Linked DNA regions of Saccharomyces cerevisiae S288C. Changing the gene in region 2 together with the main gene of any one other region gives a genetic interaction. Each region holds a gene or a part of one and is shown on either strand. Other genes may lie near its edges.

Evidence for each region. Genes that interact genetically often act in the same process or in processes that back each other up.
Region 1: mutations in YNR061C (region 2) and EHD3 together harm fitness more than expected from each alone (negative genetic interaction), as found in Saccharomyces cerevisiae (one large-scale study listed by BioGRID).
Region 3: mutations in YNR061C (region 2) and RTR2 together harm fitness more than expected from each alone (negative genetic interaction), as found in Saccharomyces cerevisiae (one large-scale study listed by BioGRID).

Annotation. Positions count from the first base shown.
Region 1 is NC_001136.10:522,348-526,543, reverse strand, and holds EHD3 (mitochondrial 37S ribosomal protein mS47 EHD3), read left to right. Parts: upstream 1-1,830; coding exon 1,831-3,333; downstream 3,334-4,196. Other genes in the region: lysine--tRNA ligase KRS1, read right to left, coding at 1-1,104; 3-deoxy-7-phosphoheptulonate synthase ARO3, read right to left, coding at 3,616-4,196.
Region 2 is NC_001146.8:742,069-745,690, forward strand, and holds YNR061C (uncharacterized protein), read right to left. Parts: upstream 1,473-3,622; coding exon 813-1,472; downstream 1-812. Other genes in the region: FRE4 (ferric-chelate reductase), read left to right, coding at 1-42; PUL3 (Pul3p), read right to left, coding at 2,292-3,275.
Region 3 is NC_001136.10:581,045-584,098, forward strand, and holds RTR2 (putative protein-serine/threonine phosphatase), read right to left. Parts: upstream 1,455-3,054; coding exon 864-1,454; downstream 1-863. Other genes in the region: RRG1 (Rrg1p), read left to right, coding at 1-740; OCA6 (protein-tyrosine-phosphatase), read right to left, coding at 1,747-2,421; DOS2 (Dos2p), read left to right, coding at 2,669-3,054. UniProt on the Saccharomyces cerevisiae protein: Probable RNA polymerase II subunit B1 C-terminal domain (CTD) phosphatase that regulates RNA polymerase II transcription. May have functional redundancy with RTR1.

The DNA.
Region 1 (4,196 bases), on a different chromosome or scaffold from region 2:
GATCTCCTTGACCATTTCTGAAAACATCAATTCAGTCATATCCATCAAATCATAAACATCAGCGTAGGCTTGATAAAACTCACAAGTGGTGAATTCTGGATTATGTGTCATATCGATACCTTCATTTCTGAATTGTCTACCAATTTCGTAAACACGATCCAAACCACCGACAACCAATTGTTTCAAGAACAATTCTGGAGCAATTCTCATGTACATGTCCATATCAAGGTCATTATGGTGGGTAATAAATGGCTTAGCGGTAGCACCACCAGCAATAACGTTCATCATTGGAGTTTCTACTTCAATAAACTTTCTTTGGTCCAAAAATCTTCTGATGTAACGGATAATTTCAGAACGGGTAATAAAACGGTTTCTGGCGTCTTTGTTCATGATCAAATCCAAATAACGCTTTCTGTATCTGGTTTCCTGGTCTTTGAAACCAAAGTGGTCGGCAGGTAACATGTGCAAACATGGTGTCAATAATTGCACTCTGCTAACGAAGACGGAAACTTCACCTTCACCACCTTTCTTTGGTTGAGTTCTTCCGACGTAACCCTCGACACCAACGATATCACCCCTTTTCAAAAGGTCGTGATCCTTTTCGTAAGAGTCTGGGTCGCAGTAGTCCTGCAATTGGGACATCAATTGAACTTCAACACCATCACCGTGAAGAACATAGAATTTCAATTTGGAGCCAGATTCTCTTTTGGCATGAATTCTACCAGCAATTGAAACCTTCTCTTCAGGTAAGGTTTCACCTTTTTTCAAATGCGCATATTTGGCCAAGAACTCAGGATTGGATATAGAAACGTGAAACTTGTGTGGGTATGGATTTGGTTCGTGAGTCTTTCTCAATTCTTGAATTTGGCGAGATCTTGTTTCGAAATATTGCGATGGATCCAGGTCAGCGAACAAATCTGTTTTTTTTTTGGAAGCCGGTTTTGGTTGAGCGGCAGCCTTTTTGGCGGCCTTTTTAGCTTCGACTTGTCTTTGCTTGATACGCTTCTTCAATTCAGACTTGGAGACCATTTCCCCGGTAGCTTCGTCGAGATGTAGGTTAGCAACACCTTCAGCGGCGGCTTTGACATTATCTTGTTGAGACATTATGCTATTGAAGTTTATTACGGATTTCTCGGAGGAAGGACAGAGCAATAAATCAATGTATGTAAGATAATTATACTTTTCTTTCTAAACAAAAAAGTGGCTGTATATATAACTTCGAAGTTCATTAAGAGTCATTTCATCATTCATCGATAATTCAAGCTAAAAAAAAAAGAAAAAAAAAAAGAAAAGCGCCGAAAAAAATTCAAATGGCAAATATTTTCACAACACCCATACACTACACCAAAAATATTCCTACATCACTAATGCCATTAGCATTCCATAAACTACTAACCAACAACTAGAACAGAACTTGATCTATTGTGCTCATGGGTCGGAGAAGCTCGCCTTATCCGCATCGTTTCCTGGGTTAATAGAAAGGTTTTTTGAATTCTTAAACATGTAATATCTCAAAACTAACACTTAAACATTATGCCGAAGAGAACAGTCCCTAACCCATTTGTAGTAAGCAGCCTTACAGGATTCCAAGGATTCAGCCAGCCAAACTGACCCATTGCGTTTTCTACCAATCTTCTCTTGTTTAGTAACACAATCCGGGTCACCCTTCGGAACTTCGGAATTGGAGAGGCAAGTGCAAAGAAAAGTGTTAAACCTCGGAGCCAAATGATTGATGAGGTAGCCGAGAAGATAAGAGCAGCTTGTTTCCTGCGCCTGTGTACGGGAATCCTCATTTATATAATACTTGGTTCTGTTTAGCCACCACAAATAATGCTCAGAAATACGCTAAAATGTGCCCAATTGTCGTCTAAATACGGATTTAAAACTACCACACGTACATTCATGACTACTCAACCCCAGCTAAATGTCACCGACGCACCACCTGTGCTATTTACCGTTCAAGATACAGCTAGAGTTATCACGCTAAATAGGCCCAAAAAGCTCAATGCTTTGAACGCCGAAATGTCAGAATCCATGTTCAAGACTTTGAACGAGTATGCAAAGAGCGATACTACAAACTTAGTCATTTTAAAGTCATCCAACCGACCACGTTCGTTCTGTGCTGGTGGTGATGTAGCTACTGTGGCAATATTCAATTTTAACAAAGAATTTGCCAAGTCCATCAAATTTTTTACTGATGAATATTCTTTGAATTTTCAAATAGCAACTTACTTGAAACCAATTGTTACCTTCATGGACGGTATCACCATGGGTGGCGGCGTTGGTCTATCCATTCACACGCCCTTTAGAATTGCTACAGAAAACACCAAATGGGCCATGCCCGAGATGGACATTGGTTTTTTTCCAGATGTAGGCTCAACTTTTGCTCTCCCTAGAATCGTGACATTGGCTAACTCAAACTCACAAATGGCCCTGTATCTATGTCTTACAGGAGAAGTAGTCACAGGAGCAGACGCTTATATGCTCGGCTTAGCGTCTCATTACGTCAGTAGTGAAAATTTAGATGCTTTGCAGAAAAGATTAGGTGAAATTAGCCCCCCTTTTAATAACGATCCACAATCTGCATACTTCTTCGGGATGGTTAACGAATCCATCGACGAATTCGTATCACCATTACCAAAAGATTATGTTTTCAAGTATTCTAACGAGAAATTAAACGTTATTGAAGCCTGTTTTAACTTGTCTAAAAATGGTACTATTGAAGACATAATGAATAACTTACGTCAATATGAAGGTTCTGCGGAAGGTAAGGCTTTCGCACAAGAAATCAAAACGAAATTGTTAACCAAGTCACCATCCTCTCTTCAAATCGCCTTGAGATTGGTGCAAGAGAATTCCAGAGATCACATAGAATCTGCTATCAAAAGAGACTTATACACAGCAGCTAACATGTGCATGAACCAGGACTCTTTGGTGGAATTCTCTGAAGCCACAAAGCATAAACTTATTGATAAACAAAGGGTCCCGTATCCATGGACAAAGAAGGAACAGTTATTTGTATCTCAGTTGACATCTATCACATCTCCTAAACCATCGCTACCAATGTCATTACTAAGAAATACCTCGAATGTTACTTGGACTCAATATCCCTACCATTCTAAATACCAATTGCCTACAGAACAGGAAATCGCTGCGTATATTGAAAAGAGAACGAATGATGACACTGGCGCCAAAGTTACCGAAAGAGAAGTACTAAATCACTTTGCCAATGTGATTCCTTCTAGAAGAGGGAAACTGGGTATCCAATCGCTATGTAAAATTGTTTGTGAAAGAAAATGTGAAGAAGTTAACGATGGCTTAAGATGGAAATAAAACCTGAAATAGCAGCCCCGTGGCTCGTAAAGAATTTTGCCAACACTTCTATGCATGTAAATAATAAAAGTAAAACATAACGCTATATTTGTATATGGATGTTTATTTAATGATACATAGAAAACTGTCATTTTCTTTCTCTTTTCTTATAAGTATTTTTTTTTATAAAAGGCAAAAAAAAAAAAGTTTGAATGTAATAAATATGGTTCAGAAAGAAATTACAATAAATCAAAAGTTTTGAGTATCATTCAAGATTATTTGCATTTTTCCCTCATTTACAGGCTATTTTTTCAAGGCCTTTCTTCTGTTTCTAACACCTTCTGCCAATAGCTCCAATACCTGTTCGGTGGACTCCCAGCCAATACAAGCATCCGTAACAGAACAACCATACTTCAATCCCTCTCTGCCACCTTCTTTGGGAATATCTTGTCTACCTTCATTTATGTTGGACTCAATCATAACACCACAGAGACTATTCTCACCCTCCGTCAGCTGGTCATAAATACATTTGGCAACCTTTGGTTGGTTCTTGAAATCTTTATTACTGTTGCCGTGGGAACAATCGATCATAATTCTTTTCTGGGAATCATCAGTCAAACCGGCCTTTTCTAACTGTTTCTTAGTATTTTGAACACTTTCTTTGTCAAAGTTAGTACCGTTCTTACCACCTCTCAAGATCAGGAAGGTATCCTTGTTACCTTCAGTGCCCACGATAGCAGTGACACCTGGCTTTGTGACAGAAAGGAAGTAATGTTCATGTGCAGCGGCTCTCATAGCGTCGATGGCGACTTGCAAACCACCATCAGTACCGTTCTTAAATCCAATAGGGAAAGATAGACCGGATGCTAATTCTCTGTGCAGTT
Region 2 (3,622 bases):
TCAAGAATGATTGAATACTTGGAGGAATACCAAGCCTGGTGAACAATTTTTCATATTTAAGTAAACACTCAATGTATAATATCCTCTAACTGTTGTAATTTCATTAACGTAGATGGTTTGCGCCTTTTTTAGGGGACTCTTGTTGATTGATTCTAACTACTGAGGCTTAAGTTGTTTCAAATAACACTTTTTCAGAAAAATAATCGTATTAAAAAGCAGAAAAATCATACGTAAGATGACAGAAGCTTCATATTTAGTAACTCTGAATTGTATAACACACCAATTGCCGATAGAATATGAACCAATCGATCTTCAGCGTTCATGTACTTAATTTAACTACCTGTATTTTCTTATAAAGATAAAATTGGTGTATAATGTAAGGACCAAGAGAAAAAGGAATCCCGCATCCCAAGCAATTTCTAGTGGACTATTTCTTCAAAAAATAACTCAATAAACACCTATATAATGTTCGGAGGTTATACTTTAGTGTTTTAGAATGCAGTACCAAAAGTAATATATTGAATTAATAACTATATGATGTGTAGCTAAGAATTAAATAGTAAACGTCTTCTGAAACCTTTTAAGAGGTAATTATTGGTATTCCAAATTCATATGTGGAGGTAAGGGAGACACAAAATTATCTGGAATGACAGCGTGCTGACACCTATAAGGTTCCGTAACTTCAAATGCCTTCATTACTCAACATAGGAAAAGTGAAAGTGTGTGCCTCTAAAATATACGGAACATCGTCGAACTAAAAAAATCCATTAAGCAAAGTCAGAAACAGCATGCACTACAAGACATTTGGTTCATCATGAAGAATGCTCAATTGAACCATCAATCACTTTCTCTTGTTCGATGTTAGCATTATCCTCACTATCAGTTGAATCCTCAATGCTTTCGGTTTCAGTCCTCGCATCTTCCTGAACTTCAAGATCTAAAAGAGGCTCACTCTCTTCCAGACTGGTCTCCAAGCGGTCCACGGTATCACGTAATGCCTTCACACAAGCCTTCAAAACAGATCTTGTGCTTGACCCATTTTCCTTAGCTTGAGATAGGACTGTGATATAAGAAGCATATGTGGTAGCGAGAAATAGTATGAATAAAACGGCTTCTGGTAAAATATCTATTTTAGCAATCTTACAAGAACCTGAATAATCAAAGTTTATACCCCGTGGCATACTTGAGCAGGACATAGAACCAAATTTTGAAGCTAGAGTTACGAAAGCGGTAAACCACAGGACGGTCTGAACAATTTCCATCACGAATATTAACAGAACAGGCAAAAATCTCACAATCCCAAAATAAACTGAAGATATGATTGAAACAGCTAAGCTCAATCTAAGGATTCGATCCACTTTATAGTTTGTGATTATGGCAAAACTAGCTAACAACAAGTTAGTTACAGATAAGCCAAGTTGGAAATATCTTAGTACGTGGAAAGTAACGGATGTTGTTGTTAACTTTAACATATATGTATTGAGTTATTATTATAGATCTTGACTTGGTAACAAAATATCAAGCTGTAAGCACCGCCTGTATTCTCCTATTTATGGTTGATTATATTTTACTTCTGTTGAACCAAGAAAAAAATAGCAACTCGAAAAGTCGCTTATTCATTCACTTTTTTAATTTTTTTACATATCGCATACGTAATTGGAAACACGCAATTTTAACTTTGGGCAAATACATAAATCATTTTGAGAAGTTGGTTTTTAGTCTCCGAGAGATTATAAACCAACATCCTTAAAAGATAGTATTCATTTCTCACCTGCCAATGCAAGAGCAGATATTATTCAGCAAGCAGTACAGCAAATCGGAAGCGAATTCCAATGACAATTTGCAGAATAAGATTAGAATAATATATTGAGATTAAAGAAAAGGTTATGCGAATTGCCTAACGTCTTTAACTTTGAAGCGGCCAAACTCTAAAAAACCTTGGTTAAAATACAAGCTTTGGCGTCCATGCAAACTGATTACATCATTCAGTATAAAGTGCCATATAAAAGAGGCACACACTTTTCCACAACTGGTTTGAATATAATAGAAGAATAAATCAGAAGGAAACTTTAAATATTAGTAATATTTATTTATGGCCGCTAAAAGATTAGTCCGGATATATCACTATAGAAATGGTAAAGATAATACACTATCATTTCCAAATGTAAAATTTGTTGATAGAACGCCATAAAAAAGAGGCTGACTTTTTGTCGTCCAAGTTCTTCGAAAAAATATACGTCAATGGCACCCGATATATAGCTGGATTTGGACCAGTATATGTCTAAGGAAATCTAACACCTTTTTTTCCTGAGCCAAATAAGCGGTGGAATTGAAACAGCTACCAAAATCATACCAAATCCAACCGCAATTGAAAGCCCCAATCTTGTGCCATAAAGAGCTGCTAATACAATCGGTGCCACCAGTTTACCAATCCCAGAGATTGCTCCAATTGAAGGCATCAACTGGACCTTGAGTTTGGGGTCGATGTACATGGAAAAAAGGGCTGGAATGCTCGAAGCCAAAAAGTTGTACCCTAACAATGTAATCGACATCCCAGCTGAAAAAAATATACCAGAATTTGTGGGTGGCATTGATTTATGCTTCAAGGCTTCGGATGCTCCAATCATAAAAGCTTGTCCCAGCAATGAAACAAACAATGCAAAGATGGACAGAAAAACTTGACCGCTGTACAGCGAATCTTTTTTCTTTACCTCAACGGTCTCACTTCCAGTTGTATCTGACTCTTCTAATCCGCCATCTTTGGCTCTGCCGCAGGAGCACCCGACGTTTATTAACTTTGGAGCGAAATAGCTTCCAGTCACACCAAGTATAGATGCGACCATAAACGCTATGCCTTGAAACTTGGTGTCCCAGTTAACGTGGAGCGTCAGGAATAGTGGCATAAAATAAACTACTTCGCTCATAATAAATGACGATAGGAACATGCTCCATAGTAAAATCAAGCAGGAGATGAGTTTTTTTCTTTCGACTCTAAAAAATTGTTTCAGAGCACTGAAAAGGCTATTTTCCGAATTTGTAACTTTAACCTCAGGATTTTCCAGAACGACAACTAATAAAAGGCATACTGCAAGAATTATGAAACTGGAGGCAAATGTCGGTGCATTGTAAGAGGCAATGCGATACCCTTTAATTTTAAAATCGCAATATCCAAAAAATATGACAATTAATTGTGCCAACGCCATGAAGATACCAGCCGCTGCTCGATAAATTGATAGAAGCTTGAAAACGATACCCCTATCTTGTGCAATTGACATGATGTAACTGAACACTATAGCACCAGAAGCAGATGCTGCACCACATATAATACGCCCACCGAGAAGGGTGTTTAGCGACACTGCACCGCCGCATGAATACAAAAAATTACCCACAAAGGATAAAAAGTAAAGCCCCACTATTACCCATTTAATGGACCCAAGAAAAGCAGCAATATCCCCAATAATGAATGAAACAAAAACTTGAACTGCTGCAGAAATGGCTTGAATTCTGAACAAGAATTTGTCCGGATTGGTTTCTCCGTTCTCTAAATTGTTAGCATACTAGTTCATTGAAATTATCTTAGATTTACATTAACACTTACTTCTTTGATGTAGTCAACCACACT
Region 3 (3,054 bases), on a different chromosome or scaffold from region 2:
GATTTCATGTTCTAAGTGCTTACATTAAGCGAAAACAAGATTTGGGCCTTTTACCTGCATACATACCAAAAACGTATCAGCACAAACTCCTATTACCATTAGCATTGAACGAACATGCGTGCCTGAAACTATTTCATATTCAGCAAAAATTGAAAAATGGCCCACCTTCTGCTGGGCTGTCATATACAAAAGAAGGAAGGAATCAAATATGGTTTGTTCGGTCACCAATTAACAAGGGCAGACAACAATCGAAAAAGCTGGGAATATTGATACGAAAAGAAAGGAAGGATTCTCAGAAAAATATCGATAATCTCAATTTTTGCGAAATTAATGCTGCTTGGGCATTACATGAGGCCATTTGGGAGGAATATCTAGAGTCGAAAAAGATTATTAAAGTAAACTTACCGAAATACTTGGAATACGCTGCAAATATCCCAAAGTCTACTAAATGTAATCCTTCGAGTCAATATCAGAAAGTTAAAGAATGGGTAGATCCCGTGAGAGAAATAATGTTCGAATTACATTCCAAAAGTTTTCAAAGAGTGGAGTACTTTAACAAATATAAGGAAAAGCTTTTAAAGAACGGTGGCCAACTAGCATATTTTGATAAAAAGTCAAAAGAAATGTACGCCAAACGGTTGACACTATTCAGAAAAATGAGCAAAGAAACATTACCATATGTGACACTCTTTATAGAAGGGAGGGACTTGCCAAGTGTTTTGGCGAAATACGGTTTTTAAGTGCAAAAGTTGCGTGAATCAGAAAGTTTAATAGAAAATTTACTGGTTACTTCCATTTCTATGTAAATAGTCACTCGTATGACCGCGATAAGGATCCTGATGAAGACGATTTAATTATACTTCCTATTCTATACAGGTTTCCTCATCAGTAGTCAACTGTCCAAAGTACACATCCAATGGTAAAGGCTCATTCTTGTAGGTATCATCAAACTCAAGATCCTTGAAACTCGTTATCAGCGATTTGACGGTATCTATAGGTACCTCACTTCCAACTAATTCTTCTAAAAGGCTTACCGAGTACATATCATCAAACTCTAGATTAATGTAACTAGTTAAATGCACGCCTCGCCTTTCATGCAGAGGCGTTTGTGATAACTGTCTCATTAAATACAACGAACATTTACTGTGATAATTATTACAATACATTGAGTGGATAAAGAAGCCATCAGATGAATTTTCTGCCGCACTCTTATAGCATAGCGGGTACCCACATATTTTCTTTCCCCTTCTTGCATTAATAACATCCATATAAGACATCGGTGAAAGTAGCCGTGCTAAGTATTTTAATGTCTGCTCATTTTCGCAAAATGATTCTGTGAGCATTGAAACTATGGCAGATTCAATCATTCGGGCTTCCACTATAGATAATTGCTCATGTAATTGGTGTGATCCTAAAATTACTTTTTGAATGAACGTAGTGGTTATTATCTGCATTATGGCTTGCGTTGCTCCTGTCCTTCTAGTATAAAAATAAACCTATCACTTTTCTTAAATATGCTGCAATTTTTCCAGAATGCCTCCTTGCTGTTGATAAATGGCTTCCAATCTTCGCCAATACTAGAATGTGACCGGCTCGTCTCTTTTGTAAAGTCGATGTAATTTTCGTTGGACTTTTCAATGGCATTTGATATTGAAAAAAATGATTATCAATGCTGGAGGGCCCGGCTAAGACTTAACCCTGAAGCTTCTGTCTTTACAAAATATTATATGAATTTATCCCTGAATTTTACATACTATGAAATTTTAGTTTTGGCAAAGAATTTGACACGCTACTTACTCTTGCAACTTTTTCAGACGCATTAGCATCATCAACACGCAACTCATCTTTTGATTCTGTGGCTGTCCTTGCAATATATCGCACGGTAATCCAGGGAACTTTATCCTTTATATCCAGATCGTCAACTTCGATTTCAGAGTTAAAGTTTTCAATGAAATTTCTTTCATGAATATTGATGCTGGAATTATACACCAAAAACTCATTTAGTATGGATACCGTACTCCAATATGAAAACTTTCTCATACATGCTACTACGAGAGATATTATCAATTCACCATTCGTACAGTGCATATAACAGGGGTAATGCCCTTTATCAATCAGAAATTTAACGCATCGTACTACAACATCGTATTCAATAGGAACTGTTTTCTTTTTCCTTTTAATCTTGGGTTTGGTCTTGTCTGCCTTTCTTTCACTTTGACATTTTATATGAATTGTCTTAATGTTATTTTCTTCACAAAACTTTACCATTAGAGGATCAGTGCTCAAAGGTTCTGGTGTCAAAGATAATATGTATTTCAATCTAAGGGTTCTCAGGAATGGGAGATTGATTTCTCGTGGGTAAGATCCTCTATATAAATTTGGCTGTACAGTCGAAAATTGTAACGGAGTCACTAGTGTCATTTTGATACATATAGCTTATTCTAGATGTGTGAACTGGGTATTCATAGCAATTGTGAACCCATAGTTTATATTGGTACTCCTTTCCTTCTTAACAGAGTCTCTTTTTTTCTTTCGCATTTTTTTTGGCCTTACATCAAATAGCGGTGATTAATGATAAAAAGCACTTAGCAGAAGTCATGCAACAAAAAAAGAACACAACATAAGGGTACAGCTAGTGAGCTCCATTGCTTCGACGTTTTAGGATAAAATGGAATTCTTTTATGAAGAACAAGTAGCTTGTATCGAAGATGATAAAATAAGCAACTCTCATACCAAGGAAACTGGATCAACAGAAAACACTGAAAATAACGAACTTCAGAGCCGAGATGACAAAACAAATGAGGCCTTCCAAAAGTTAGAAGAGGAAGTCAATAAACGATATGAAAAGACTACAAGTGCATTCAAAAAGTTAGTAATCGAGAAAGATGACGGAATTGAAATTAACTTGCCAATTAGCAATGAAACTACAGAGACTGCACAAAAGTATTTGAAGAAACTAGACGAGAATATTCACAGCGTGGAAAGTCTAGCCCAGTCATATTGGAGCAAAATGAAAACTAAGAATTTTTGGTCTGGCTTCAGTAGCTTCGATAA